Macaca mulatta: one gene and its partners. The protein of the gene in region 2 binds, or shares a complex with, the protein of the main gene of each other region. Links are inferred from orthologs where the notes say so. Each region holds a gene or a part of one and is shown on either strand. Other genes may lie near its edges. The genes, in order: MED18, MED26, MED23, MED13, MED1, MED21 and MED7.

Evidence for each region.
Region 1: MED26 (region 2) and MED18 share a complex: the UniProt entries of both Homo sapiens proteins name them as parts of the mediator complex. The link is inferred for Macaca mulatta from reciprocal best matches to the Homo sapiens genes MED26 and MED18.
Region 3: MED26 (region 2) and MED23 share a complex: the UniProt entries of both Homo sapiens proteins name them as parts of the mediator complex. The link is inferred for Macaca mulatta from reciprocal best matches to the Homo sapiens genes MED26 and MED23.
Region 4: MED26 (region 2) and MED13 share a complex: the UniProt entries of both Homo sapiens proteins name them as parts of the mediator complex. The link is inferred for Macaca mulatta from reciprocal best matches to the Homo sapiens genes MED26 and MED13.
Region 5: MED26 (region 2) and MED1 share a complex: the UniProt entries of both Homo sapiens proteins name them as parts of the mediator complex. The link is inferred for Macaca mulatta from reciprocal best matches to the Homo sapiens genes MED26 and MED1.
Region 6: the proteins of MED26 (region 2) and MED21 are in contact, whole or in part, in a cryo-EM structure (PDB 7EMF), measured with the Homo sapiens proteins. The link is inferred for Macaca mulatta from reciprocal best matches to the Homo sapiens genes MED26 and MED21. Residues at the interface, in NP_004822.2 of Homo sapiens: Ser481, Arg482, Asn483, Glu484, Ile485, Ser488, Tyr489, Ser491, Arg492, Ser495, Leu496, Ser498, Ser499, Ser500, Leu528, His529, Ser535, Pro537, Thr538, Asp539, Leu540, Pro541, Gln549, Asp551, Leu552, Ile555, Gln556, Trp560, Gly562, Val563; in NP_004255.2 of Homo sapiens: Ala2, Asp3, Arg4, Leu5, Gln7, Asp10, Ser14, Gln18, Asn21, Gly24, Val25, Gln28, Cys29, Tyr54, Leu57, Phe58, Leu61, Arg64, Thr65, Lys67, Asp68, Val71, Leu72, Asp74, Ser75, Leu76, Pro77, Ser78, Glu79, Glu80.
Region 7: MED26 (region 2) and MED7 share a complex: the UniProt entries of both Homo sapiens proteins name them as parts of the mediator complex. The link is inferred for Macaca mulatta from reciprocal best matches to the Homo sapiens genes MED26 and MED7.

What each region holds. Positions count from the first base shown.
Region 1 is NC_133406.1:212,601,238-212,605,913, forward strand, and holds the start of MED18 (mediator of RNA polymerase II transcription subunit 18), read right to left. Parts: upstream 3,238-4,676; 5' UTR 2,300-3,237; coding exon 2,237-2,299; intron 2,018-2,236; coding exon 1,879-2,017; intron 1-1,878. UniProt on the Homo sapiens protein: Component of the Mediator complex, a coactivator involved in the regulated transcription of nearly all RNA polymerase II-dependent genes.
Region 2 is NC_133424.1:17,072,764-17,077,589, forward strand, and holds the start of MED26 (mediator of RNA polymerase II transcription subunit 26), read right to left. Parts: upstream 2,899-4,826; 5' UTR 2,817-2,898; coding exon 2,715-2,816; intron 2,563-2,714; coding exon 2,488-2,562; intron 1,826-2,487; coding exon 170-1,825; 3' UTR 1-169. UniProt on the Homo sapiens protein: Component of the Mediator complex, a coactivator involved in the regulated transcription of nearly all RNA polymerase II-dependent genes.
Region 3 is NC_133409.1:36,660,296-36,664,372, forward strand, and holds part of MED23 (mediator of RNA polymerase II transcription subunit 23), read right to left. Parts: intron 1,865-4,077; coding exon 1,740-1,864; intron 334-1,739; coding exon 222-333; intron 1-221. UniProt on the Homo sapiens protein: Required for transcriptional activation subsequent to the assembly of the pre-initiation complex. Component of the Mediator complex, a coactivator involved in the regulated transcription of nearly all RNA polymerase II-dependent genes.
Region 4 is NC_133421.1:49,720,202-49,724,278, forward strand, and holds part of MED13 (mediator of RNA polymerase II transcription subunit 13), read right to left. Parts: intron 3,747-4,077; coding exon 2,830-3,746; intron 1,493-2,829; exon of another isoform or gene 1,368-1,492; intron 148-1,367; exon of another isoform or gene 1-147. UniProt on the Homo sapiens protein: Component of the Mediator complex, a coactivator involved in the regulated transcription of nearly all RNA polymerase II-dependent genes.
Region 5 is NC_133421.1:63,743,587-63,746,685, forward strand, and holds part of MED1 (mediator of RNA polymerase II transcription subunit 1), read right to left. Parts: coding exon 227-3,099; 3' UTR 1-226. UniProt on the Homo sapiens protein: Component of the Mediator complex, a coactivator involved in the regulated transcription of nearly all RNA polymerase II-dependent genes.
Region 6 is NC_133416.1:29,388,330-29,393,136, reverse strand, and holds the start of MED21 (mediator of RNA polymerase II transcription subunit 21), read right to left. Parts: upstream 3,164-4,807; 5' UTR 3,131-3,163; coding exon 3,089-3,130; intron 1-3,088. UniProt on the Homo sapiens protein: Component of the Mediator complex, a coactivator involved in the regulated transcription of nearly all RNA polymerase II-dependent genes.
Region 7 is NC_133411.1:166,007,443-166,012,086, forward strand, and holds the start of MED7 (mediator of RNA polymerase II transcription subunit 7), read right to left. Parts: upstream 3,122-4,644; 5' UTR 3,063-3,121; intron 1-3,062. UniProt on the Homo sapiens protein: Component of the Mediator complex, a coactivator involved in the regulated transcription of nearly all RNA polymerase II-dependent genes.

The DNA of each region.
Region 1 (4,676 bases), on a different chromosome or scaffold from region 2:
CTTCCTGCCAGACCCCTTCCCCTATTCTCTATGCTTAGGATGTTCTTCCGATCTGCATGTCTACTCTATCACTTTTATCAGGTCTGCTCAAGTGACTTTATCATCAGGGCCTTTTCTGATCACCCTAATAAAATAGTATGTGTCCTACCAATCTCTAGCCACTTTCCTGCTTTATTTTTATGGCATAGATTTGTTGTTGTTGTTGTTGTTGTTTAGATAGGGTCTCACTCTGTCTCCAGGCTATAGAGCAGTGGCGAGATTATAACTCTTTGCAGCCCCCATCTTGGGGGTTCAAGTGATCCTCCCACCTCAGCCTCCCAAGTAGTTCGGACTACAGGTACATACCACCATGCCCAGCTAAGTTTTCTTTATTTTTAGTAGAGGTGAGTTCTTGCTATGTTGTCCAGACTGATCCTGAATTCCTGAACTCAAGCAATACTGCAGCCTTAGCCTCCCAAACGACTGGAATTACAGTCATAAGCCTGTAATAGCTGGCTTGACATACATTATTTTTTAGTCATCTTTCTCCCTCCATGGCTATGGCTCAAATGTTTGGAACATATTCAGATACTTGTTGACAAAATCTGGCCTGGCGCAGTGGCTCACGCCTGTAATCCCAGCACTTTGGGAGACCAAGGCAGGTGGATCACCTGAGGTCAGGAGTTCAAGACCAGCCTGGCCAACGTGGAGAAACCCCGTCTCTACTAAAAATACAAACATTAGCTAGCCATGGTGGTTCACGCCTGTAACCCCGCTACTTAGGAGGCTGAGGCAGGAGAATTGCTTGAACCTGGGAGGTGGAGGCTGCAGTAAGCTGAGATTGCACCACTGTGCTCCATCCTGGGCAACAGAGTGAGAATCCATCTTAAAAAAAAAAAAAATCAGAGAAACAGGACCTAGAAAGATAGCTGCTGAGGGTTTGGCATAGAGGGGAGTGGGAATTAGTGTTTAAGGGGTAAAGAGTTGCAGTTTTATAGGATGATAAACAAGCATTTTAGGCTGGGCGTGGCGGCTCATCCCTGTAATCCTAGCACTTTGGGAGGCCAAGGCAAGTGTATCACTTGAAGGCAAGAGTTCAAGATCAGTTTGGCCAACATAATGAAACTGCAACTCTCTACTAAAAATACAAAAACTAGCCGGGCATGGTGATGCACGCCTGCAATCCCAGCTATTCGGGGGGCTGAAATACAAGAATCCACTGAACCGGGAAGTGGAGGTTGCATGAGCTGTTATCATGCCACTGCATTGCAGCCTGGGTGACCGATCGAGACTCTGTCTCAAAGAAAAAAACAGTTGTACTAAGTATTTTTTCAAGCTACTCACAATAAACCAAAGTTCTAAAGATCTGTTGTTCAGCAATGTTAATATACTTAACAATACTGAACAGTACACTTAAATATGTTAAGGTTTTTTTTTTTTTTGAGACAGAGTCTCGTTCTGTCGCCCAGGCTGGAGTGCAGTGTCGCGATCTCGGCTCACTGCAATCTCCGCCTCCCAGGCTTGCACCATTGTCCTGCCTCAGCCTCCCAAGTAGCTGGGACTACAGGCACCCGCCACCACGCCGGACTAATTTCTTTCTGTATTTTTAGTAGAGACGGGGTTTCACCGTGTTAGCCAGGATGGTCTCAATCTCCTGACCTCGTGATCCACCCGCCTCGGCTTCCCAAAGTGCTCGGATTACACGCGTGAGTCACTGCACCCAGCCAAGATGGCAGATTTAATATGTTTAGTGCATGTAAAACTGTAATTTAAAGTAACAGTTAAAAACATAGTTGGGTGCCAGAAACTGTGCAGGCTGCTTTTGTGTTGTCTCTCATCTTAAGGGAAGCTGAACAGAGAAGAGGAAAACAGGTAATCCAAGTTCCCTGGTTCACTTACCCTGCAATAGGTACTCCATCATGTTAATGGTGCCCCCAGTGACAGGCATCATGGTGACTGGAGGTGCCTCCATGGTGTCTAAGTTGAAGACAACACAACTGGACTCAGAGCCCCCAGTCAGGTAAGGCACGGGATATACCTGGAAAAGAGTTCACTTGTTTATACATCAGAGTAGTCGAGAGAGACCAAATCTGTTGTGGCACTGGCCTTCAAATCAAAAGATTCATTCATTTAAAAACATTTCAGTGTCTTACATGGCCAGTTCCAGGAACTGATGATACAGAAATATAAAAAGGAGATCTGGTCATGGAGTTACAGCATTGCCTTCTAGTCTCAAGTTCTGAAACCTCCAAGTTACCTGTGCAATCTTGAGAAAGTCCTGTCTATAACCCCTCACCCTGGGACTCAGTATCTTCCTCATAAAATGAGACCAGCAATTTTTTTTTTTTTTTTTTGAGACAGAGTTTCACTCTTGTCGCTCAGGCTGGAGTGCAATGGTGCAATCTCTGTTCACTGCAGCCTCCGCCTCCCAGGTTCAAGCGATTCTCCTGCCTCAGCTTCCCGAGTAGCTGGGATTACAGGCACCCACAACCATACCCGGCTAATTTTTTTTTACATTTTTAGTAGAGACAGAGTTTTGTCATGTTGGCCAGGTTGGCCTTGAACTCCTGGCCTCAGATGATCCTCAGGTGAGTCGGCCTCCCAAAGTGCTGGCATTATAGGCGTGAGCCACCACGCCCGGCCAAAGGCCAATGATTTTTAACTCCCAAGGTTATGTGGCTCAAACGAGATAATAAAGAGGCAACAAAATTCAGAAGAACTGAAAAGTGTCTTAAGGGACCTTCATTTTTATAGATGAGGACATTGAGACTCAGAGAGGGACAGGATACACACAGCAACTTGGTAGCAGAGTTGGGACCAAACTAGAATCTAGGCATTCCATCGCTCTGAAAATGCCTTTCCCCCATACCCTTTTCTTTTTTGGTGACAGGATCTCGCTCTGTAGCCCAGGATGGAGTGCAGTGGGGGAGTTCCTAGTTCACTATAACCTCGAACTCCTGGGCTCAAGCGATCCTCCCACCTCAGCCTCCCGAGTAGCTGGGACTACAGGAGGGAGAGTCACTGCGGCTAGCCTAAAAATGCCTTTTAAAGAGAGCCAAGGCCAGGCGCGGTTTCTCACACCTGTAATCCCAGCACTTTGGGAGGCCGAGGCCGGCGGATCAACCGGAGGTTGGGAGTTCGAGACCAGCCTGACCAACATTAAGAAACTCCGTCTCTACTAAAAATACAAAAAATTAGCTAGGCCTGGTGGCGAGCGCCTGCAATCCCAGCTACTCGGGAGGCTGACGCAGCAGAATCGCTTGAACCCGGAAGGCGAGGTTGTGGTGAGCTCAGATCGCGCCGTTGCACTCCAGCCTGTGCAACAAGAGCGAAACTCCGTCTCAAAAAAAAAGAGAGAGCCAAGAGGAAGTTATTTTAAAATGATGGTATATAGGTCCTTCTAAGCCAGCATCCACAACACGTGTCCACTTAAACACTAGAAGCACACCTCCTTGAGGCTCTAGTGTCTTCTCGAGAAGTCGGGAATTATATGCACCCGCGCACCTAGGAGCCTTTGAGCGACGATTAGATCCCAGTCCTCCGGTTACCGGAGCCCGGGAAGCCCCCAGACCGGTGGAACCAGCCAACTTCCTGCTCTTCTCACTTCCGGTCGGAAGCCGAAGTCTCACAAACCTCGAAACTGCCGTTCCCAAACGTATGGGTGCCGAGAAGGCCGAAGAGCGTCATTGCGGACAGACAATCAGAAGCGCATGCGCAAAATGCCGGGCTGCTGTAAGAAAGATGGCGGCCTCCTTTGGAGCTTTCCTCCGGGGTCTACCTGGCGCCTTGACGTCACAGGCCATCCTCTAGGAAAATATTTTTAGGTTTGACAACCTGGAGATGTATTTGTGCAGAAAGTCTCTTGGAACTGATAGGACTTACAGAGACTATAATGGGCTTAAAAAGAAAAATGAACTGAGGGCGCGGTGGCTCACGCCTGTAACCCCAGCACTTTGGGAGGCCGAGGCAGGTGGATCACTTGAGATCACGAGTTTGAGACCAGCCTGGCCAAGATGGTAAAACCCCGTCTCTATTAAAAATACAAAAATTAGCCGGACATGGTGGCACGCGCCTGTAATCGCAGTTACTAGGGAAGCTGAGGTGGGCGAATCGCTTGAACGTGGGAGGCAGAAGTTGCAGCGAACCGAGATCGCCCACTGCACTGTAGCCTGGGATACAGAGAGAGGCTCTGTCTCAAATAAATAAATAAATAAATAATAAATAAAAATTTAAAAGTCCGGAAAAGGAGTAGGTCCAGATCCAGGAGTACTCTGCAGTGCCAGACTAAAAGAACACGTGTGAGCTTTAAAAGAACCCTGGTTGCAACATGGAGAAAAGTTTGGGAAAGGAGAGAGCCTAGAGAAAAATGACCAGGCGGGACATGGTGGCTCAGGCCTGTAATCCCAGCACTTTGGGAGGCCAAGGCGGGCAGATAGCTTGAGCTCAGGAATTAAGACCAGCCTGAACAACATGGTGAAACCCTGTCTCTACAAAAAATACAAAAATTAACTGAACGTAGTGGCTTGTACCTGCAGTCCCAGCTACTTGGGAGGCTGAGGTGGGAGGATTGCTTGAGCCCAGGAGGCAGAGGTTGTGGTGAGCTGAGGTAGTGCCACTGCACTCCAGCCTGTGCAACAGAGGGAGATCCTGTCTGGAAAAAAATTAAAGAAAAAAGACCAGTTAGGCGCTTTAGTACA
Region 2 (4,826 bases):
GGGAAGAGTGCAGAGAGACCGCGTGACTCCCGCCCCCTCCCTCCTGCCCGGGCCGGACTCCCCGAGTTCCCAGTGCAGGAGGCAGCTGGGCCCCGGCCACCCACCCACCTGCCTGCCCGCCCGCCCGGCTTCTGCAAGATGGGAATGCACTTCGTGGCTGACGGGCCGGTCAGTCCAAACAGACATAAGGCAGAATGTTCAAGCGCCCGTCATCGCCGTGCGGATCAAGTGATATGCACTGCGTCCAGTCATACCAGTTACCCTGTGTGTCCTGACACCCGTTCACCCCCGGCCACTGGCTGGCCTGGATTCTGTCGAGATCGTCCTGTGTGATATCCCGGGTCAGCCCGGGGAGGTCTGTGGGCGGGCTTTGAGGCACCAGCACGTGCAGCTGCCTGGCCCCTTGCCGGGTGCTCTCCTCCTGCTTCAGGTACTCAGACATGAAGTGGTGAGCCCCCGGGGTCTGCGCGCCCGACGATGAGAGCAGGCTGCTCTGCCGGCTCAGGTAGGACTGGATGATCTCGTTGCGTGACAGCTCCTTCCAGTTCGTCTGTTCAAAGGGGCTCTGGAGGCTGGCCTTGGCCTCCTGCTTGTCCAGCTCTGTCCTGGACTGCTGCTCCATGTGCACAGGGCTGTCTGCCCGCACTGGCTCTTTCTGGGTCAGAGGTTTGATCTGTCTTGTCATGGGGTCAAAGGTGAGCTTCCGCTCTTTTAACCGGACAGGCTTGACGCCCGCCTCAGCCACCTGCCCGTCCAAGTTAACCGTGTAATCTCGAGGCCGGTACCTCTTCTTCTTTTTACTGTCCGAGCCCCCTGAGGAGGCAGCGTCACTGTCCGCCTTGGAGGAGTCTGGGGAGAAGCCCGCCCGGGACAGGAGGGGCTCGGCTGGGGACAGCCCTGCCTTGCAGCCCGGCCCCGCCAGCCGCTGGTGGCTTTCCGGCTGCTCAAGCCAGCGCACTGGGCTTTCCGCACTGGGCAGCAGCTCAAGCCGCCGTACAGGGGGTGTGGACGGCTGTGCCAGTGGAAGCGGTGACGGCACCTGTGTGGCATCGAGCGCCTGGGGCCGCGGTGAGGGGCTGGGCACGGAGCCCTTGGGTGCATACAAGCTCTGCTGCCGGGCAAAGGAGCCCTCATGCCGTGAGTTCCGAGGACTGAAAGAGCAGCGAGGGGGCCCCTTGGGGTGGGGAGGCCCCGGAGTCTCATCCACCCTGTCCAACTGCTGCAGCACCGAAGCCTTTGGCTGCAAGCAGGGTCCAGGGGGCTTGCCCAGGCCTGGGGAGCTGGTGTGCGGCCGCACAGCGTTGATGGGGATCTTGCCACTGTGCTTGTCGTTCTCGCCACGCTCCAGGCGGCCGCCCTCTGGGCCTGCATGCCCACTGCCATCCAGGGAGCCAGGGAAGCTCTCTGGACTCCCACTGATGCCATTGGTAGGGAGGGGGGATGAGTTGGGGACCAGGGGGTCGTGGCTAGCTTTGGAGACCTTAGGTGGTGGCCCTGGGTGGCCGAGGTCACGCTGGTCACCCCTGCGCTTGCGGCTGCCCAGCCTGTCCAGCCGCTGCCCGGGCAGCCTCTGGAGGTCATTGCGGCTCTTCAGGTCATGGATGCTCCTGGGCGGGCCAGCCGCCCCCACCTCCGGCCGGCAGTTGTGTGCACCCCCGTTGGCAGAGCCAGTGGCCCCCGCCAGCCCCCGCAGCGCTGCCTCATGCTGGTGCGCTGGCTCGATGAGCTTCTGCCAGCTCCGCAGCAGCTTCTTGGCCCGCTTGGCGAGCTCCTCGTTCTTGGTTTTCTTGCGGACGTCGTTGATGAGCTTCCCAAGTCGTGTTTCCTACAACCAGAAAGAGAGATGATGACATACTTTCGGGACAGGGACTTCCCCATGAGCTGAGCCAGAAATGGTGGGAAATGGCCCTGACAATGAAATGACCTGGTTCCCACTGAGCCCTAAACTGCCAGCCTCCCTGGCACAAAACTCCTGGGGATTTCCGGTCCTTTGTGACAATATAAATTCTCAAACCTAGTCCCCAGACCTTCAGAGTCCCAGGTGGCTTCTCAGCAGTGCTGTCCCGCAGGCTCCTGGTGCCAGGGGGCTGTCAAGGCCACTGTAAGGACACTGCCAGGGAGGCTTTCTGGATGAGAGGGTGCTGTGGCCAAGGCGGCAGCACAGAGGGTCTGCTTCAAGTGGAGGGTTGGGGACGGCGCCTCTCATTGGAGCCTCCCCCAAGCACACCTCTCCTGATGTCCCCATGTCCCCACGTGCCCACGTGCCCATGAAGTGTGCTGGGCAGGTAGGATGGGATTAATGCCACTTGGTCACTGCAGTGGCCACAGGAGAGCAAGATCACGGGGCACAAGCTGTGAGGGCACACCGCCTCTCTTGGTCCTCTGAAGCAAAGACACACGCTCCTAGAAGCTGGGGAAGGAACTGGGTTGGTGCCGTCCCCTGTCCCCCATTCTGCACTCCCAAATGCTGGGGTCTGGGATACTCACCTCAAGTGCCTCTTTGGTAATGGGGTATTTCTCCAGGCTGGAGATGACTTCCAGCACCGCCACCATGTTCCGGATCTGTGGAAATAAAGAAAAAGCCATTTGTCAGGTTCCTGCCCTTCTCCCCTGGGAGGCAGGGACACCCTACCCCAGCCTGCTCCAGTCTCTCCCCAACCCCAGAGCAAGAGGAGCTGGCAGCACTGAAGCCCCCACTCCATGTAGTCTCCTACCTGCTCCCCAGGCCAACCTGGCGCCCAGTGCTCATCCTCACCCGCTGTCCGACCTCCTCCAGTGTGTGGTGTGCGGTCTGCTCCAAACCCTCCAGTGTACATGGTACATATCCACCCACCTGCTGAAACCCAGGATGCTTGTGAAACAAGAGCTGCTCCTGATACTTAAAATGACCTCTACTCTGCCATCTGATGGGAGTGGGAGAGGAGACACTGAAGAATTCATCGAATAAAATCCACAAAGCTTAAAAGATCAATACATAGGCTGGGCGCGGGTGGCTCACGCCTGTAATCCCAGCACTTTGGGAGGCCGATGAGGGCGGATCACGAGATCAGGAGTTTTGAGACCAGCCTGGCGAACACAGTGAAACCCCATCTGTACTAAAAATAAAAAAATTAGCTGGGTGTGCTGGCATGCGCCTGTAGTCCCAGCTACTCGGGAGGCTGAGGCATGAGAACTGCTTGAACCCGGGAGGCAGAGGTTGCAGTGAGCCAAGACCACGCCACTGCACTCCAGCCTGGGTGACAGAGCGAGACTCCGTTAAAAAAAAAAAAAATTCAATACATAATAAACCAGTCGATTTGAATCCAAAGACACCATAAAGAGAGCAGAAAGTCACAAAGTGGGAGAAGGCATAGACCACAAGCCCCAAGGAGCTGTATCTGGAACACACAGAGAATGCCTGTGCAGCAGTGCAGCTGACCAGGAACCCAGCGCACAGTGGCTACAAGACAGGAACAGGCACTGTGCAATGAAATGTCAGCGCTAATGCTCAGCTTCTCAGCTTTATCAATAATTAGGAAAACTCAAACTGAACCCACAAATGGATATATGATACACGCACCCCACTGACAATACTAGGTACTTCTGGGGGTACAGCCGACTTTGGGAACGGCTGGACTTTGTCTGGCAGAGTGAAACATGAACACATCCTATGACCGAGTAATCCCACCCTTTTAGGATCTTGCTAGGAGCCACACCTTGTTCTAAGCACTTCCCACACATTACTAACTCCTTTAATTGTTACAACAAGAATTCCTACCGCTCAACCGCCACCTCCAGCAGCTACAGGTTTCTGGTGGGCTGGCTGGCAGGCGGGAACCCAGGGGCCCTGAGGAAACCACAGTGAGTAGATTACACAACTCCCCCCCACCCCCACCCCAACATGATAAAGGAGTTAAGCAGGCACATGATACAAATTAAAACAGCGTAAAAGGGCACACAAGGAAATGGGCATCTCTGACCCAGCCACTGTAGCATTACCTTGCATTTTTTTCCAAAAATATCCCTTGTGTATGCAGGCGTATACATCTACACTTGTCACATATTTCAAAACCAAACTGACCGTGGTTCTTGCCTTTTCTGACTTAACATCAGCAATGTCCAGCCTCAAACAGAGCCCCTCATTTGGCTCACCATCCCTTCCAGAGTGGGGAAGGCCCGACTTGAATGTTGTGGGACACTTAGGCACTTTCTGTTCGCCATTACAAAACAAGGCTGCAACTGACGGCAGTGACAGACTTGACTCTGGGCTAATGCACAGACAGCCGCGGGTGAGCCGGGGCTTCACATCCATGCAGGGTGGTCACCTCGCCCCCAGGGAGGCTGCTCCATTCCATTCCCACCAGGCCACATCCTTGCCAAGACTGCGTGGCATGAGTTTCCATAACACGTGATTGTAAACTCAGCATCTTACACAGCACACATTTATCATCTCAGGCTCTAGGGCTCAGAAGTCAGGTCTCGGTCTCACTGGGCTGGGATCCTCTCTGGAGGATCCATTTCCTGCTCCTTCAGGTGTTAGCAGAGTTCAGCTCTTACTTATTTTTTTGAGACGAAGTTTTCCTCTTGTCGCCCAGGCTGGAGTGCAATGGCATGATCTCAGCTCACTGCAACCTCCGCCTCCTGGGTTCAAGCAATTCTCCTGCCTCAGCCTCCCGAATAGCTGGGATTATAGGCACCCGCTACCACGCCCAGCTAATTTTTGTATTTTTTTAGTAGGGATGGGGCTTTCACCATGTTGAAGGCTGGTCTGGAACTCCTGACCTCAGGTGGTCCACCCTCCTCGGCCTCCCAAAGTGCTGGGATTACAGGCGTGAGCCACGGCGTCT
Region 3 (4,077 bases), on a different chromosome or scaffold from region 2:
AAATGTATCAGCTACCTGTACTTATAAGAATGTTGGGAGGGGAGTAGAGGAGCCTTGGGAACAACTGAGTAATTTTAAATCTCTTCAGGAAATATACCACAAGAAATAGACAGATTTTGTAAATGCTTCCACATCATGTCTCTCACCTGAAAGTAGGATATGCACACTGAAAAATCAATCATATCTGAAAACAATCACTTTTTATAATGAGAAAAATATACCTTGTAATCCACTCCCCCAATTATTTTCCGAACCAGTTTAAATGTTAAGGCCCAAAGCTGTGTTCTTTCCCACTCAAGAGTGTCAGAGGTTATCAGGGATTCACAAACCAGCCTATAAAAAAAGAAACAGCCATTCCAGTTATAAGACAGAATTTTCCAAGTTCTCTAATAGCCACCGATATGGTTTGGCTGTGTACTCACACAAATCTCATCTTGAATTGTAGTTCCCATAATCTCCATGTGTCATGAGTAAAACCACTTAAATCATGGGGGACAGTTTCCCCGATCCTGTTCTCATGATAGTGAGTTAGTTCTCACAAGATCTAACGGTTTCACATGGGGATTCCCCCTTCGTTGGGCACTCATTCTCTCTCCCGCCGCCCTGTGTGATGAGGTGCCTTTTGCCACGATTCTAAGTTTCCTGAGGCCTCCCTAGCCATGCCGAACTGTGAGTCAATTAAACTTCTTTCCTTTATAAATTACCCAGTCTCAGGTATGTCTCTGTTAGCAGCACGAGACAGACTAATATAGCCATAGTCTATGGACTGTATTATATTTATCCTCTCAAATATCTTTCATAAAAGTGCATTATTACTAAGTACACTTATAAATATGTATAGCATTTTACATTCTTTACTTGTATGAAAGATCAAAAACAAAGTAAGAATGAAATAATATTCACTACGTTATATTTTACTAGAAAGAAGTGTATCTGGAGCTTGCAGTTACATGTTTACCATCTATCACCTTGTGGTACACTGGATTTTTCCAAGAGGGTGGCAACAAGATTTTTGATCCCACATCTTCTTCTGAAATGTGACACTGACATTTCTCCCAAGGAGAAGTAGGGGGAAAGTCTATGTTCTCACTCCTTAGATGTGGGCAGACCTAAGACTATGGCCGAAAGGATGCAGTATGACTTCTAAGACAAGGTGACACAATTTCTGTCTAGCCCTCTTTTGCACACTTGCTGTTAGGCTCCACCATGAGGTGAGAAAGTTCAGGCCACAAGGCGAGGGCCTGTGGAGGTTCTGGCTAATAATCTCAGCTGAGGTTCCAGATGACAGCCAGGAACTAACCACCAGATATCTGAGTGGGGAAGCTTTTGCCATGCTCCAGCCCCAGCTACATCGATCATTAATCATTAAGACCTTGAGGAAAAAGTGCCTCTTAAGCCCAGTCAACCACCAAAACCATGAATAATTTTAAAACCTGAGTATTATTGTTTTAAGCCATGAGGTGTTGAGGTTATGCAGCAAAAGTAAAGTGTTACAAACTAATCAAAGAGAATAATCTCAGCACCTGGGCAGAAACATCTGATTTTGAGCCCACAAGCATTATATAATTCAAAGATTATGACTCCTAAAAACTAAAACCTGAGGTATTATATAAAGGATTACTTGATGAACCTCACTTTCTTCTTCATTCTCTTATCTTTTCACAACAACAACCTCAACCAATTTCCAATCACATATAGAAAAGAAAATTCGTCAGATTGCTCATACCCATTAAACGTACCTGGGTGGAAGGAGACCAGTCTCAACTGCCATTGCTAAGCAGTCATAAAGAAAAGAAATTCTTTTAGGACTATGCTGACCATGAATAAATTTAACAATCCACTGGATACACTGTTCATGAGACTCCTGGAAAATTAGAGAATGATTTTATTTGGGGTCTAAAGTTACATTTTTATAAGAAATAGCTAATACTACAACTGGAAGTATACCAATACTATGAATGAAATACTTCACTCTGAGCATCTGTGGATGAAAATAATTTTTTAAAAAAGGAAAATTAAAATGTTCAGATTTAGTATTTGTCACATTAAGCTTAAAATTTTGCAATTATATAGATAAAATGCTACCTTTTTATTACATGGGACCTTCAAAAGTATTAATTAACTAACATATCAATGGTCTATAGAAAACTCTTAACACAGATCATTGTAAGGCATTGTAAACATTGCCCTTTATGGCATATATAAATATTACTGTCACTGGGAGTAAAATTCATTATGGATCAGTATGTATCAGCCTTATGAGAATTAGGTGTGAATCTAATCCCTAAGAGCCTAAAGAAGAGCCCATTATGAATCTAATGACATGTCACATTTCTAGACTTGCAAAACTTTAAATATGATGTCAAATGTTGTGCTGTATCAAAGTTTATCTTCTAGGATATCTCCAAAAAGAGCCTATAATGTTCTGCTTCTCTCCATGACCACTGTTCTCATACTTCTATTGTGGCACATATAACAATGATTTGGAAATACCTATTTTCTTCCTGGTTTCTCCATTAGAGGGCCACATCATAATTTATAAAGTGTTTAATGAATTTTTTAAAAAAATTTTGGAAAGATGTTCAACATCACTGAGAAATGAAAATAAAATTATACTGAGATAAAATTTCTCATGTTTTTGATCAGCAAAGATCAAAAAGCGTAACACTCTATTGTGAGGTTATAATAAAAAGATACTCTCAAACACTGCTGGTGGAAGTATAAACTAGTATAACCCTTGTGGAAAATTTAATAATTTCTATAAAACTTACAAACCAGTAACGCTTTTGACTCAGCAATACTATTTCTAGGAATTTATCCTATTTTTCAGGCATAATATTATTCATCACAGCACTGGTTAAATGAGAAAAAGTTAAGAAGAAACTTAAGAGTCAGTAGAAGATTGGTTAAATGGAGGAAGGTACAGCCATACAATGGAATATTACGTTGCTATTTAAAAAACAAGTAAGAAAAGCAGCAGAAACCTCTGCAGACGCAAACGACTCTGTCTGACAGCTTTGAAGAGAGCAGTGGATCTCCCAACACGGAGGTTGAGATCTGAGAAGGGACAGACTGCCTGCTCAAGTGGGTCCCTGACCCCGAGTAGCCTAACTGGGAGACATCCCCCACTAGGGGCAGTCTGACACCCCACACCTCACAGGGTGGAGTACACCCCTGAGAGGAAGCTTCCAAAGCAAGAATCAGACAGGTACACTTCCTGTTCAGCAATATTCTATCTTCTGCAGCCTCTGCTGCTGATACCCAGGCAAACAGCGTCTGGAGTGGACCTCAAGCAATCTCCGACAGACCTACAGCTGAGGGTCCTGACTGTTAGAAGGAAAACTATCAAACAGGAAGGACACCTACACCAAAACCCCATCAGTACGTCACCATCATCAAAGACCAGAGGCAGATAAAACCACAAAGATGGGGAAAAAGCAGGGCAGAAAAGCTGGAAATTCGAAAAATAAGAGCGCATCTCCCCCGGCAAAGGAGCGCAGCTCATCGCCAGCAATGGATCAAAGCTGGACGGAGAATGACTTTGACGAGATGAGAGAAGAAGGCTTCAGTCCATCAAACTTCTCAGAGCTAAAGGAGGAATTACGTACCCAGCGCAAAGAAACTAAAAATCTTGAAAAAAAAGTGGAAGAATTGATAGCTAGAGTAATTAATGCAGAGAAGGTCATAAACGAAATGAAAGAGATGAAAACCATGACACGAGAAATACGTGACAAATGCACAAGCTTCAGTAACCGACTCGATCAACTGGAAGAAAGAGTATCAGTGATTGAGGATCAAATGAATGAAATGAAGCAAGAAGAGAAACCAAAAGAAAAAAGAAGAAAAAGAAATGAACAAAGCCTGCAAGAAGTATGGGATTATGTAAAAAGACCAAATCTACGTCTGATTGGGGTGCCTGAAAGTGAGGGGGAAAATGGAACCAAGTTGGAAAACACTCTGCAGGATATCATCCAGGAGAACTTCCCCAACCTAGTAGGGCAGGCCAACATTCACATCCAGGAAATACAGAGAACACCACAAAGATACTCCTTGAGAAGAGCAACTCCAAGACACATA
Region 4 (4,077 bases), on a different chromosome or scaffold from region 2:
TTGAGACAGAGTCTCACTCTGTCAAATAGGCTGGAGTGTAGTGGTACAATCATGGTTCACTGAATCCTCCACCTCCTAGGTTTAAGCTATACTCCCACCTCAGCCTCCCAAGTAGCTGAGACTACAGGTGCATGCTACCACACCCAGCTAACTTTTGTATTTTTAGTAGAGATGGGTCTGCCATGTTCACCAGGCTGGTCTTGAACTCCTGGGCTTTTAAATTAAAAAAAAATTCCTTTCTATAGGATCACTCCCAATGCACCTTTAACAAAATAATAATAAACCTCTGTTTTAACCCTATTATGCAATTTCTCTGCTATTTACAGCAAAAGTCCCCAGAAAATTGTCTAAGTTTGCTTCTCATCCTGTTCTTTTGTGAACCCACTCTAATCAGGTTGATTGAAACTGTCTATCAAGGTGACCACCAACTTCTATGTGGTCACGTCCAATAGGCTGTCTCAGTTTTCACCTTAATGTATCATAGTATTTGATAGAGATGATCACTCTCTTCTAAATATTCCCGGGCCGGGCACAGTGGCTCACGCCTATAATCCCAGCACTTTGGGAGGCTGAGGCGGGTGGATTGCCTGAGCTCAGGAGTTCGAGACCAGCCTGGGCAACACAGTGAAACCTCGTCTCTACTAAAATACAAAAAATTAACCAGGTGTGGTGGCGGGCACCTGTAGTCCCAGCCACTCAGGAGGCTGAGGCAGGAGAATTGCTTGAACCCGGGAGGTGGAGGTTGCAGTGAGCCGAGATCGCGCCACTGCACTCCAGGCTGGTGACAGAGCGAGACTCTGTCTCAAAACAAACAAACAAAAATTCCCTAATCTTGATTTCTAGGATACCATGCTCTCTTGGTTTTCCTCCAACCTCCTTCTCAATTTTCTTTCCTGGCGCTTCTTCTCCCTCCCCACCTCTAAATGTCAGCTCCATCCTTGTACTACTCTATCTACAATTACTCTATAGGTTATTTCATCCAGATCCACAGCTTTTCATGATGATAACTCACACACAAAATTTTTCAATCTCCGGACCCAATCATTCCTCTGAATTTAAAACATATTATCTCCAAATGTGTATCTGATTTACTCCCGTGTTTCCCTCCTCTGTAGTTAGTACCACCATTCACCCAGTTGCTCAAGCTATTATTGATGCCTCATCTTTTCTTACATGTCTATCGGCAAACCCTGTAGGTTCTATTTCCCAAATATACCTAAAACCTATTACTTACATCTTGCTTGCCTCCTATCTTGTCTAAGCTACCATCATCTTTCACCTAAGCTTCTGAAACTGCCTTCCAACTGATTTATCCTGCTTCTATTCTCACTTTCACTACTGCCAACCCCCAAGGCTATTTTCCACACAATAGCAACAGAGAGTCTTGCTCTGTTGCCCAGGCTGGAGTGCAGTGGCGTTATCTCAGCTCACCACAACCTCCGCCTCCCAGGTTAAAGCAACTCCTCTCCTCGGCCACCTGAGCAGCTGGGATCACAGGCACGCCCCACCACACTGGCTATTTTTTGGATTTTTAGTAGAGATGGGGTTTCACCATATTGGGCAGGCTGGTCTCAAACTCCTAACCTCATGATCTGCCCACTTCAGTCTCCCAAAGTGCTGGGATAAGAGGCATGAGCCACTGCGCCCGGCCATCTTTTTTTTTTTTTAGATGGGAGTTTCACTCTTGCTGCCCAGGCTGGAGTGCAATAGTGCAATCTTGGCTCACTGCAACTTCCGCCTCCCAGGTTCAAGTAATTCTCCTGCCTCAGCCTCCCAAGTAGCTGGGATTACACGTGCCCGCCACCAAGCCCAGCTAATTTTATATTTTCAGTAAAGATAGGATTTTACTATGTTGGTCAGGCTGGTCTCGAACTCCTGACCTCAGGTGATCCGCCTACCTCGGCCTCCCAAAGTGCTGGGATTACAGGCATGAGCCACCGTGCCAGGCTGAGAGATCTCTTAAAAAACAATCAGAATAAGGATCATGTTACTCCCCTTGTCAAAACTGTTCAATAGGTTCCCATCACATTTAGTGCAAACCACAAAGGCCTTACATGGTCTATAAGACTCTAAATGATGCTGGTGAATGGCTACCTCTTAAATTTCATCTCCTTCCAGTCTCCCTATCACCCAAAGCATTCCAGCAACATCAGTCACCTTAATGTTCCTCAAACACGTAAAAACAAAATACTCCCTCAGGGTGTTTGCGCTGCCTGAAACACTCTTCCCTCATTTAACTACATAGCTCATATTCTACTTTATGTAGGAGTTTGCCCAAATGCTATCTCCTCAGTATCTTATCTGACCATACATCTAAAATAGTACATACATGTCTTTTTCTACTCTTTTACTCTGCTTTTTCTCCAAATTACTTCTATTATAAGCTTTTTTGTTTATTTCCTATTTTCTCCACTAAATTATAGATTCAAAAAGGGCAAAGAATATGTGTGCTTTGTTCAACAGTGAACCTAGGATAACACCTGGCACATACAAGGTGCCCAGTAAATACTTAACGAGTGAAAGAATGTTGAATAAAGCAGACCATTAGCAATGTTATGCTAATATACGCAATGTGCCTTTCATATTCCTACGTAAGTATATAATTACAGATTTATAATAACCATACTTTTATTGGTGACATTAAATTAAACCGCTAAGAAATTCACCCTTTAAAAACATCATCCTTAAAAGAGTTTTAAGTCCAACTTTAAATGTCTTTATTTGCTATATGGGTAATTGCCTTTATTACTTTTTCCTAAGAATGAAAAGCCAAGTCATACAACTAAAGTGAAATAAGCAAACAAAACAGTATTTTATTAGCATACTTACCATTTCTTTTGGACCAGGGGTGTAAGCATGAACTTTTCACAAGTGCTTCATCAACTTTTCCTCCTGACATATTATCCATGAATTGACGCCCATGTTCTAATGCAAGGTAGCAGTCATTGCAACAGTCACGCTCTTCAACACGTACCCAATTGCTAATTACACCACTTTTAGGAAAAGGATCTTGGTCTGCTGCTCCAAAGGGTGAAAATAAATTAGTGCACTGATCCTGTAGCAATAATATCAAATCATCAGATAGTTTTTCAGATTCCTTTAGTCCTCCATTAACATGTTCAGCAGAGGTACCCCTGAGAGCTTCAAAACGTTTTTCTGCTTCTTTGCCACAGTCTGTATTGCGTCCTATGATATCTAGTTCATCTTCAAGAAATAATCCTGAACTGTTTCCAAATTTTCTGTTCATGATAGCACTGAAGCCACAGGTACACCTATATTGTGCTTCCTGCGTTGGATCTGGAATGTAAACTCCAACATCGGCACCCTTGATATTCATGTTGCAGACACAGATGCAACAACTATCAAAGTTACAGTCTTTAAACAAATTCATAACTGATTCTGAAAGGATGAGGTTTACATAAAGACTGTGTGCTTCAGGGATGGAAGGGACAGTTGCAGGTTCAACAGAATTAAGGGGTCTGCATGTAGATGGGGTAGAAGCTGGTGAATACAAGTCTGAATTTTCGTATTTGACTGAACCTTGAGCACTAGCAGGTCCACCAGCTCCACGAGGAGTTCGAGGAGTCCTTGGAGTCCTTGGAGTTGGAAACCGAGGGGTGGATGGAGAAGGAAGAATTCCTGCTCCGCTGTTACTAGGAGGTGCACTGCTAGGAGGCATCCCAAAAGAAGTATGAGTTTGAGGTGTATAAGCAGGGCCATATTCTTGATCCATATTACTTCCATCACTATCATCACCAGGGTAAAAGAAAATCAAATACATATATAAAGGAACATATTAGTAACATGAAATACAACTAAAAACGTCCCAAATGTTTTTCAATTACATAGAAAATTACGAAAGGACAAGTATTGCAAGAATTACAAGTACAGTCAATTTTTATTTCTGGTTAACATATCTACTCTAAGTGATTGTGGACTAAGGATCAATCAACAAGTTCAAATATCATTAATAAGTACTGTATACACTAATGCGCACCAAGACATCCATATTTACTATCTATAAATTATGTTTACTAGAAATACTTATATTTCCTTGATTCTAAGATGCTACTGACT
Region 5 (3,099 bases), on a different chromosome or scaffold from region 2:
TCTGGCACAGGAACAAAGACTTCTTGGTAACCAGAATCAAACACTGTGGTTTCTTTAATAGGGTCTGGATATGCCTTTCTAATTCACCCAGCTCGATGTCAAAGCCATGCCATTTAGGATTCTTAACCAAATCAGACCTGTCTGACTCACCCCTTATGGTGGTTTGCCTATAAACTTATCAATAGTTTCTTTTCTCTGGCCCTGTTTCTTTTAGGAAATAAGGTTCCTAATTCCCAATCAGGGCCACATCCATAAGATCATCATCTTCCTCCCCAATCATAAAGTCTGGGCTGAGCCTTGAGGGTCTATCTGCAGATAAGATTGTGTTACTTGTCATAGACAAGGACTGGTCTGAAGAGATGGGTGATTTGGACCAACTCTCTGGCTTGATGCTATGAGATTTTTTCTTGTCTCGGTCTTTGTCCCGGTCTCGGTCCCTATCTTTGTCTTTTACTTTCTTCTTTTCCTTTTTGTGCTTCTTATGTTTCTCTGTGCTGTATTCAGGAAGTGGTCGGATACCATCATCTGAGCTGGGACTATTCTGATAAGATTTCTCTGCTATGGAGGAGCCTGACTCACTTTCACTGTCCAGATTCTGGGGGGTATATGCTGGTGACTTACTATGGCTAGGAGAGCCACGCTCATGCTTTGGAGTGGAACCACTGATGAGTGGAGAGCCATAGTTTTTAGAAGAAGCCATCTGAGGCCTAAGCCCTTCTCCACTACTTTCCCCAGGTTTCTGCAAAGTCACTTTGGCTTTAATGCTGGGGGAGCCTCCATCATGCTTACTGATGATAATTTTTGCCACACCTGTGCTCCCCACATTTTTTGACTCTGAGGTCTTCTTAGAAGAATCCACTGAACTCCCAGAGGTGGAAACCTTTGATTTGTCTTTATCACTTTTCTCACGCTTGCCCTGAAACTCTCCTCCTGACATGTTATGTTTAGAGGACATAGGATGGCTGGAAGAATTTGTGCTCACCCCCATCTGGCCGTCCAGTGGGTCTTCACCCCCAGGGCCACTGGTGACAACCCCATGCTTCAGTTTATCTATGACAGCTGTCAAGGACGGCTTCTTATTTCTGCTGGGAGATTTTCCTTTGGAACTCCCATGCTGGTTTTGAGAGGATGACATGGAAGAGCCACTTGAGGAAAAGGAGGAGGAAGATGCTGTACAAGAATTAGATGATGGGGGAGTTTTCTGGGACAACGAGCCTGAGGATCCTAACCCTGAAGATGACTTCATGCCAGAGCTTGAACTAGTTCCAGACATATGAGAACCACCAGAACCTGAACTGATAGGGGACTTGGCTTTAGAGGATGGAGGAGTTCCAGGAACAGGCTTCATTGGAGAGGCAAGCTTGTCAGAGCCTCCAGGTGGCCTTGAATGAGAAGGGGATATGTTTGGTTTACTTAAAGAAGGATTCATAAGTGATGATGGCTTTCCTTGAGGTTTCATCTTGGTGCTGCTAGAGCCACTGCTCAGTCCATGCTTGGTAATGGGAGAGGAGCCTGGCTTCCCCCCAGACTGGGATGAATTTTTGGACTGGCTAGATCCAGAAGACCCCTGGCTAGCATACATACTGCTGCTTAACTTGGAACTTGATGAGCCTTCTGATTTACTGCTTTTCATCTTCCCTGAGGTGGAAGCAGAAGATGAGGAAGAAGAGGAAGAATGGCTATGGTGGCTTTTGCTGCCTGAGGAAGACACAGAACCACTGCTGGTATACTGACTGTGAGAGGAAGGCTTGCCCACCATCACTGTTCCCTTAGGAATCTGAATAGTGATTTTGGGAATGGGTGGTGTGGCAACACCTGGGGGAGTCTGAGATCTTCCTGAACTGCCTGGAGATTTAGATCCACCTGTACTGGTAGGTGGGGTAAAAGGTCGGTTAGAAGAACTATGAGATGGAGACTTTCCCTCAGTGTCTGCTTTCTTCCTCTTTGGAGGCTTATCTTTGCTTTTCCCATCATTAGAAGGGGTCCGACTGCGTTTCCCTGGTTTGCTGTCTAATCCTGGCCCCGCGAGAGTACTATTACTGGTGCCATTGCCTTCCTTTACCCTCTTTTGAGTCTTTTCTTTCCCTAAGTCCCCAGTGGTCATTAAAGGTCCCTGACTACCACTGTGATGCTCCATAAGATCTGCAGGACCTAAAGCTTTGCCGGCTACTGATATAATACTGAAATCAACTGTGTCAGCTTGGTTATTGGCCTTAAACTTGGTCTCCCCATTATCACCTCCAAGCATTGGCACCCCCAAAGTATTTAGTGCCTGAGATGCAAATCCTTTGAAATCATCATTATCCCCACTTTGGCTGCTTTCATCAAAATATTCTTCTCCAAAACCACTTTGGCTCTGGCTGTTCAATAAATCAGGATTGAAATCTACTCCATCATGAAAAAAATGATTGGTAGGAGAGTCACTACTGGGGCTTCCAGCAGCATCTGCAATAAGATCAGCTGGATCAGTGTATGGATTTTCATTATTGTTAGTTTGAAAGACATCAGAGTCAAAGAGGGTACTCTGAGAATGCCCAGAGCTTGAAGAATCTCGAAGAGGGGTGCCAATAGCTGGGCAATCATCACTAGTGCTGGGAAGTTTAGAAGCTTCTTCTGCAATGTCTGAAAGGATGTCAGTTACATCTGGGCCAATGCTGTCTGAACTGGATAGTCGGACCATCCTTTGAATACTGGGTTGGGGGTGAGGTACTGGTTGTGGGTAAGTTGTTGGGGGAGTGCTACACTGGCTTGGAGCTGGAGTGATGTGTGGTGTATCCAGTGTGTCAGCTGTCATGTTGACATCAAAGATAGGGTTCTGTGAGTCAACATCCATTGAAAATAGCTCCCTCTGAAAGTCATCTTCAGTCTGGTGCTTTGGTTTCTCGGGTGGTAATCTTGATGACTTCTTTTTCTTGGTCTTGTTGCTCCCCGAGCATATTTCCATCCGGGGTGAGCCGGAAGAGGAGTTCTGCCTTTCTAAAGGGCTGCTTCCATAAAGGGTTGAGAAATCCTGGGCAGGATTATCTTTAAGAAGGTTCATGAGCATCGGGTGGTTCTTGGTGTTGCCGGCCATCGAAGAGACAGGTGGCGGCGTGTGAT
Region 6 (4,807 bases), on a different chromosome or scaffold from region 2:
TTTGAGCTTACTCCACCACTGTCTTCAAGGTAAATCTCCAACTCAGGCTGTTTTGAAGCTTTCAACAATCTAAGTCAACTCTACTGACTTGTTTTCCACTACTCCTTCATATTTACCTAACTAGTCATAAAGTCACTTATGACTAAATGGCTTTGCCCAGGTTTTAATAATAGTAATGGAGCAGTAAGTGCTCAGACGCTATACAAACGTAGATCCCAGCTCTATTAACCCAGGTAGCATTTTTCATTTTTAAATTGGATACATTCTCCTATTACAGCATTGTTGTGAGGAAGAGGAAATACACAAAATATTCAACACAGTGTCTATCTGTTCCATCCTTCAAAAACTTTTAGGCCAGGCGCGGTGGCTCAAGCCTGTAATCCCAGCACTTTGGGAGGCCCAGATGGGCGGATCACGAGGTCAGGAGATCGAAACCATCCTGGCTAACACGGTGAAATCCCGTCTCTACTAAAAAATACAAAAAACTAGCCGGGCGAGGTGGCGGGCGTCTGTAGTCCCAGCTACTGGGGAGGCTGAGGCAGGAGAATGGCTGAGGCAGGCGAGTGGCGTAAACTCGGGAGGCGGAGCTTGCAGTGAGCTGAGATCCGGCCACTGCACTCCAGCCTGGGCGACACAGAGAGACTCCGTCTCAAAAAAAAAAAAAAAAAAACTTTTAAGATCCATTTAGTCAACAAAACTTTATGGAAAATAACTATGACAAGTACTACATTTAAACACTATAGAGACATAGTGAATGCGACATAGCTTCTGCACTCATGGTTTTCAGAGGGTAGAACAAATGTTAAAAGTTATACAAATCTGATTAGGATAAATGCTAAGAAGATTCCCTCTATTTTGGTTCACATCACTCCATATTCCAATTTACTTCAGAACCTAAAGCTGAAAATACTCAATTCATTATAACTCCCTAACCACATACTGTTTTTCCATCACTTAAATGTCTCCTGAGTATATGACATTTTTTTAACCTCCTTAAGGAGTATCTCTTTGCAAACATGATAGTGCTTATACACAGTAGGCACTCATACTAGTTATCCTAAAGGCTTTTCTCCAAAATCCAATTATCAGCATGCCTAACCTGGAGTTAAGGCCATATTCACTCTGTCCTTACTATCCTTCTAGTTACAAGACATGTATGAATATGCAAAAGTTTCCCTAAAATAAGATTTCTATCCAGCAGCATCATTACAATTTGATTTTGTAAAATCTCAAAGGAGTAGTTCCCTGAGGAAGGCTGACTGGCAGCTCAGGCAAGTCCCTGCAGGGCAGAATTTATCTTGGTGAATTCAACATTTAGAAGCTGGTCCTCTCAGCCTTAAAAACTAGTGTTATTCACCCAGGGTAGATCAGTTTATCACAAGTAGATTCACACTCTTCAAGTGTACAAAGCCTGATGTATTAAGAAAAATGCCAAGTTATTAGCTTACAGTGAGGAAAAAAAACTGGCAAAGAAACCAGGTACTTAGGTTTTCCTCTCAGCATGTTTTCTCTCTAGCCCCTCATCTAGGACGTTAAATCACAATCAGACAATGAGAAACATAACTATCAATGGAAAACTATTTAACAGAAAACTATGTAACTGGTAATGGTAATAAGTATACCCATTGCAGCAAGAGAATACCCACTGACGTCTTGGTCAACGGGATGCATATATTATGTCGGTCCCCTATGGTTATAACAACGCTGAAAAATTCTTACTGCCTAGTGACATCATAGCGGTCTGTGCTTGTGGTGACGCTGCTGTAAAGCAACCTACGGCACTGCCAGTGTATGAAAGTCTAGCACATACAATTAAGTACAGTCCATGATACTTGATAATGATACTAAATGACTTTGTTACTGGTTTATGTATTTACTGTTTCCTCGTTATTATACATTGTACTTCTACTTATTAAAAAAAAAAGTTATCGCCGAAACCATGCATTTCTCAGAACATAACCCCTTCATTAAGGGCCCATGACTGTATGCGCATCCTCTGGCTTTGCTTCTGCTTTCCACTCAGGCATAGCTTGGAGGAAAAATTACCAGAAGGAACAAAGCTGGGGAGCTACCTACAAGACTTGGCCTTTAATAGAGCGTAGAATTTGGGGGAGACGTTAAAAAAGACTTGTAAGCCGGGCACGGTGGCTCACACCTGTAATCCCAGCACTCTGGCAGGCCGAGGCGGGAGAATCGCTTGAGGCCGGGAGTTCGAGACCAGCCTGGGCAACATGGTGAAACCCCGTCTCTACTAAAAATAGAAAAATCAGCCGGGCGTGGTGGAGGGCGCCTGTAATCCCAGCTACTTGTTTGGCGGAGGCGGAGGGTGCAGTGAGCCGAGATGGCACCACTGTACTCCAGCCTGGGCGACAGACACAGTCTCCAAAGTAAAAAAAAAAAAAAAAAAAAAGGAAAGAAAAGAAAAAAGAAAGACTCAAATAAACGGAAAGACATACGAGAATCAGAAGATTTCCTATCATAAAGATGTCCCCAAACTGATGCATTCTGAGGGGTGGCCAAGAGACAAGAGATGGAAGGAGGCTCTGGGCCCACAGGAAGGAGCGAAGATGAAAGAAAATCTCTCACCTCAGCGTCGCTCCGCACCAACCTGAAAGCGCTGGTGAAGGAATACTCTCGGCTGGCATTTCATTACAAAAACCCAGTCATCCACAGCACGAGATCTCCCTTGGTGGATTCAAATTGATGAGGAAAGAAAAGAGCTCCTGCTTCTCCTCCCAACCCCCAAAAGAGATCCCGTAAGCACCGCTGCCAAGAAAATAAAACTGTCCTCAGGGAATACGACAGGACCGCGCAGCCGACAAGTCTTGGCGGCCCCACCCGGACAAGAGCAATCTTCCCGGTCTCCTCAAGCGAAAGAGGCTGCTCCCTCCCGCACCTTCAAGCACCGCCCGGCAGCCGGCCTCACACCTCCGAGTTCGCGGTGGCGCCTCCCGAGAGAGCGCTTTATGCCGAAGCCCTGTTTCTCAGTCCGCTTTCCACTTCCAAGTTTTGCCTCTTGGGCCCCTTTTCTCCCTTGCTTTACCTCAGGAAAGAGAAAGACAGAGGCTAATCGAATGAAATTCCTCACCGAATTCACAGCGTCTTGAAGCTGCGTGAGCCGATCCGCCATGTTCTTCCTGCAGCAAACAGACGCCAAAACAGCTGCTCTTCCGCGACTGGGCAGCTCTGGTACGCGTCATGGCCAATCCCAGCGCTGCCTTCTTGGAAGGGGTGGGGTCGGAGAGAACTCCCCGCCCCGTCAGGAGTGGGTGGTACTGCCGAGGCGGCCTTAGAGCGGGCTACACCAGAGGAGAGGCTGGATCTTTTGAGTAACTGGGGAGCGGCCTGGGGTCCATCGCTTTGAGGGGCTGAAATACTCTCTTTGAGGTTGTTAGGTGTTAAAGGCTTCAGAGATTGTTGGATTCAGCGGGGATTTTTTTTTTTTTAGTGATTTCTCCTATCCTCTCATGTGTTTACTTATTGACTACATTGAAGAGTAGATATATTTATTTATTTTGAGACGGAGTCTGGCTCTGTCGCCTAGGCTGGAGTGCAGTGGCGCGATCTTGGCTCACTGCCAGCTCCGTCTCCCGGGTTCACGCCATTGTCCTGCCTCAGCCTCCCGAGTAGCTGGGACTTTAGGCGCCGCCACCACGCCCGGCTAAATTTTTTTTTTTTTTTTTTTTTTTTTTTTTTTTGTAGTAGAGACGGGGTTTCACCATGTTAGCCAGGATGGTCTCCGTCTCCTGACCTCGTGATCCGCCCTCCTTGGCCTCCCAAAGTGCTGTGATTACAGGCATGAGCCACCGCGCCCGGCCAAGAAAAATCAGCTGCACAATTTAGATTTAGAGTTGGGACTTATTGAGAGATTAAGTGTGAAGAGTGATAATAGAAACTTGGTATTTAAGGAAATTTAGCCTGAGGATAGTCTGGTAAGAAATGAGTTTGGAGTCGGCAAATAACAGGTTTGGAGACATCAAACAAACTCTCATATCCTCTTTCTCAGGTTGATTATCCGTGATTACCTTCCTGCGGCTGCGGGGTAGGTGGTGGACACAGTCCCCGGGGAACTCAGCTTGCTGGATTTATCCCAACCCTTGCTGGGAAGCACCACTTCTGCTTCACACCCATGCCCCACCCTCATCCCCAAACAGTCTACAGACTTACTGGGGCCTCATTAAGAACGTGGATGAGGCATGCTCCCCATAATGGAACTAATGAGAAATCACTCCATAATTTGTTCTAACTGTAACTTGGGGGAATCTACAACCTTTTCCTCCCACCTTCACTTGAGCGTGTACCTTACTGAATGCCTGCCACATGCCAGGAAGTATATCCAGTGCTCAGTGTGCAAAGATGAATAAGCCAAGGACTCACCAAGAGGAAGGTTTTGCAGTTGTCCAAGATTAAGGTGAGCTGGGCCTAGAATAGGGTGTTGGTTGACCCTGATAAGAGAGGAAAAAAAGACTAAAATATATTTTTGAGAAAAATAATTAATACGGATTGGTGACTGATTGAATACAGTTTAGTCCACTCCGTAAGGATACTAAGTTTTGCAGCGTGATTGAAGGGAACTTGGGCACTTGAAGTAGAGAAGTCACTTCAAGACAACTCATATTGTGACACAGTTTTTGTCCTGCCACTATCTTCCTAGTAGGTCTTCCGTGCCTCCACAGAGACCTCAGGTTGATGTCCAACTATCTCTGCCTAGTTGTCAAGATTTACTATAATCTGGCTCCAGCAAACAGACCCAGCCTCACCTCTTGATAATTTTCTGAGTGAAATAATCCTCTGTTTCAGCCAAGGG
Region 7 (4,644 bases), on a different chromosome or scaffold from region 2:
CTGTAATCCCAGCACTTTGGGAGGCCGAGGCAGGCGGATCACAGGGTCAGGAGATCGAGACCATCCTAGCTAACAGGGTGAAACTCTGTCTCTACTAAAAGACAAAAAAAATTAGCCGGGCATGGTGGCGGGTGCCTGTAGTCCCAGTTACTCAGGAGGCTGAGACAGGAGAATGGTGTGAACCCAGGAGGCGGAGCTTGCAGTGAGCCGAGACTGTACCACTGCATTCCAGCCTGGGCGACAGAGCGAAAATCTGTCTCAAAAAAAAAACAAGAAAATCTTCTGGATTCCACACCCTTCACCATTTATGCCCCCATTTCTCTACTCCTCCATAACCAAACTACACGTTGTCTCCCAATCTCATATCAGAATCACTTTTGCTTTATGTTACAGATTGATTTCCAATAGCAAACACTTACTTGTATCTCTCATAAACACTGACAAAATTAACACTGCTAAATCCTAAAGACATGGTATTATCCAAAGTTCCTGAATGAAATGATTCAGTTCCATATCCTTTTTGTCACAGTAAACTATGCAATTTTATATGGACACATTAACTTTTTTTTTTTTTTTTTTTTTTTTGAGACGGAGTCTTGCTCTGATGCCCAGGCTGGAGTGCAGTGGTGCGATCTCAGCTCACTGCAACCTCCGCCTCCTGGGCTCAAGCAATTCTCCTGCCTCAGCCTCCCAAGTAGCTGGGATTACAGGCGCACACCACCATGCCCGGCTAATTTTTGTATTTTTAGTAGAGACAGGATTTCGCCATGTTGGCCAAATTGGTCTCTTAATTCCCCACCTCAGGTGATCCGCCCACCCTGGCCTCCCAAAGTGCTGGGATTACAGGTGTGAGCCACCGCGCCCGGCCTGTATGGACACATTAACTTCCCTACAACTATCACAGAAATTTCAAACCCCAGGTTCAAACCCAGTATCTTCTATGGCCATAATAACCTCTACTTACTCTACCTTAAGCCTAGATATACCATCCAATGAGAAGATTCTGAAGTGCTCCTTTACACTGGTATTATCAAAGTTTCAAGATATAACACCCTCTAACATCAGGTGGGGCAAGTATTCTATTAGAAGCAATATTATACTTAGAATTCGTGAGGTACTAAGGGCAGGCGTGGTGCAGCCCTGAGTTTCCACCATGCCACAGTAGTGCATAGGATGATGCAGCCTCGACCTCCCAGGCTCAAGCCATCCTCCCACCTCAACCTCCCAAGCAGCTGGGAGTACGAGGCAAATGTCACCACGCCCAGCTAATTTTTGTATATTTTGTAGAGACAGAGTTTTGCCATGTTACTCCGGCTGGTTTTGAACTCCTGAGGTCAAGCAATCCTCCTGCCTTGGCCTCCCAAAGTGCTGGGACTACAGGTGTGAGCCACCACTCCCAGCCAACATTTTAAAACTTATAACATAAATTCAGATTACAGAAAAAGTGCATGAATATACAAAGAACACTTCATATTCTTCACTCAGATTCTCCAAATGTTAACATTTTCCTTCATTTGCTTTATTGGTTTCTCATTCCTTCACCCCTGAATACTTCAATGTGTTTTCCCAGGACAAGAATGTTTTCTTCTACCCACAGCACAATTACCAAAATCAAGGAATTAACATTGATCTGGTACTTCAAAACACAGTTTTTGACACCTTACGTTTCATTCCACTCAAACCTTTTTAGGTGAGGAGTGCTGCTCTGTACTTTCCTACACGATGTGCATTCCTGTACTTAGGTTGTCATTTTCCTAAGGCAACTACGTGACAGATACTGTTGTTTTATGGCCTCTCTAACATAATCTTCATAACAATTCTATGAATTAAGGTTGTTTGTTTTGTTTTTTGAGACAAGGTCTCAATCTGTCTCCCACGCTGGAGGGCAGTGGTATGATCAGGGCTCACCGCAACCTCTGCCTCCCGGGTTCAAGGGATTCACCTGCATGACCCTCCTGAGTAGCTAGGGACTACAAGTGTGTGCCACCACGCCCAGCTAATTTTTTATTTCTCGGTAAAGACAGGTTTTCACCATGTTGGCCAGGCTGGTCTGGAACTCCCGACCTCAAGTGATCCGCCCACCTCGGCCTCCCAAAGTGCTGGGATTATAGGCGTGAGCCACCACAGAGTCCCATGAATTAAGTTCTATTATCAATTTCATTTTAGAGGTGAAGATCCCAAGTCTCAATGAGGGGAAGTGTTGCCCCAGATCAAAAAGTTAATAAATGGTACAACAGGAATTCTTATCCCAGGTCCCTTTAGCTCCAAAGGGCAAGCTCTCTTATATCTCTAAGCCGTGAAGCATCTAATTGTACAATTAGAACTTGCATATTACAAAAATTATATTTTTCTCTACTGTCTCTCTAGATGGAACTTTTCAAAGGCGATGGAAGTCTTATTTTAATAAAACCAGAGCCAAGCATCATAACTGGTTCTTAGACTCAAGATCCAACATCTAGTGTTTGTTCTGGGGGAGAAGGCGCCTCACCAGAAGACGACAGATATTCCAGGGTCCCAGCCCCAGAGATTTGATTCATTCTGTCCACTGTGAATGGGCCCTGGTATGTCGCTTTAAAAACCTCTCCAGATGGACCTGACGATTAGGCTTGGTTGGGATCTACTGCCCTCGCCTGCCCCCGTATCTCAGCTGTTTCACAACTGCTCCCAGAAGAAGGAAGGGCAGGGAGGGCTACTCTCATGTTACAAAGGGCCAGAAAGGGCAAATAACTCGCCCAAGGCGACACAGCCTAGAAAAACAGCGGCGAGGGGACTAGACACCACGTCTCCCAACCTCCACTCCGGCTCGGCGTCCCCACACGGAGGAAGCCCTGGGACTGCAGCGCTAAGAGCCCCCTCCTCCAGGCTGTCCATCCCGAGACCTCCACGAGCGGCGGGGAGGCCGCGCTCTCGGAGAGACTCGGGACAGAAAGACGAGAGAGCGTCTTCGGAGGCCGAACTCCTCCATGCCTCCCCAGTTCCCAGCCCAGCACAGAGGAAACCGCGGGGTCCGGAAGAAAAAAACGCACACACGCGGGAGCCCCAAGCCGTTGCCGCCCACTCACCTCAACTCTGGCTTTACACTGGTAGCCGCCTTCCCCCTCTGCAGCCGAAACCAATTTCCGGTCTCCTCCTGGAAGAAGCCACCGACTCTGTCTTTGATTGGCTGTAGGAGCTGTCCTTTAACGAGATTCTAGATCCGCCTCAGACCGATCGCTCGCTATTGCGCCTGCGTATATTCGACTCCTGCCATCGCCACCCCTTTCACTGACTTTTAAAAGTAGTAGGTGAGGGTTGTTTCTTCGTTTCTTTAAGGCATAAAATTAAACAAGACATCTTATTGCTTTATTTTTTATAGACCCCTTATTGACTAGAAAAAATCTTATATTTTGCCGGGCGCGGTGGCTCAAGCCTGTAATCCCAGCACTTTGGGAGGCCGAGATGGGCGGATCACGAGGTCAGGAGATCGAGACCATCCTGGCTAACACGGTGAAACCCCGTCTCTACTAAAAAAAAAATACAAAAAACTAGCCGGGCGAGGTGGCGAGCGCCTGTAGTCCCAGCTACTTGGGAGGCTGAGGCCGGAGAATGGCGTGAACCCGGGAGGCGGAGCTTGCAGTGAGCTGAGATCCGGCCACTGCACTCCAGCCTGGGCAATAGAGCGAGACTCCGTCTCAAAAAAAAAAAAAAAAATCTTATATTTTAATATGTAACATGCTCTTGTAAGACTTCCATGAATTTAGACATTTATGACGTGAAAATAACCTCCCAAAGAAAACCTAGCAAAGGTTGTTCGTGTGTTCCACCCGCTGCCCGCATTACAACTCTTCTGCTGACAGTCGCAGCTGGTAGTTCCATTCCTTTTGTCTTTTCTTTTTTAATTGAACCCATACAATGAAGACATCTTACATAAAAATTCGAAAATATAGATATGCAGGGTTTTTTGTTGGTTTATTTTGTTTTATTTATTTATTTATTTTCTTTGAGACGGAGTGTCTTTCGCCCAGGCTGGAGTGCAGTGGCGCGATTTCGGCTCGCTGCAACCTCTGTCTCCGGGGTTCAAGCGATTCGCGTGCCTCAGCCTCCCAAGTAGCTGGGATTACAGGCATGTGCCACCACACCCGGCTAATTTTTTTTTTTTTTTTCCTTTTTTTGTATTTTTAGTAGAGACAGGGTTTCACCATGTTGGTGAGGCTGGTCTCGAGCTCCTGACCTACAGTGATCCGCCCGCCTTGGCCACCCAAAGTGCTGGAATTACGGGCGTGAACCACGTAGCCCGGCCTCCCCCATTTTAATTCCCCCGCACATATAAATTTATTTCCTGAAGAAATTCATCCTCACTGCTGACCCCAATATGTCCTGCACCCGTGACTTCCAATGCTTGTTCCCAGTCCTCGTTTTACTCCCTCTGTCAGCAGCATTTGGCACATTTGATTATTTGGATTGCCCCAGGACTCAGTTCTCCAACCACTTCTCAGTCAGATATCACCCAGATACATGCAGGCCCTGGAACACCGTTTCCTCTGCACTTCAGACCCTCATATCCAGTGGTGACAGACATCTTTACCCCGTTGCACTTTACTCAATTGCAAATGTTCAATCTAAGGAATCACCTTTTTCTCCTTTCTCCCATACCCCACCGAAACT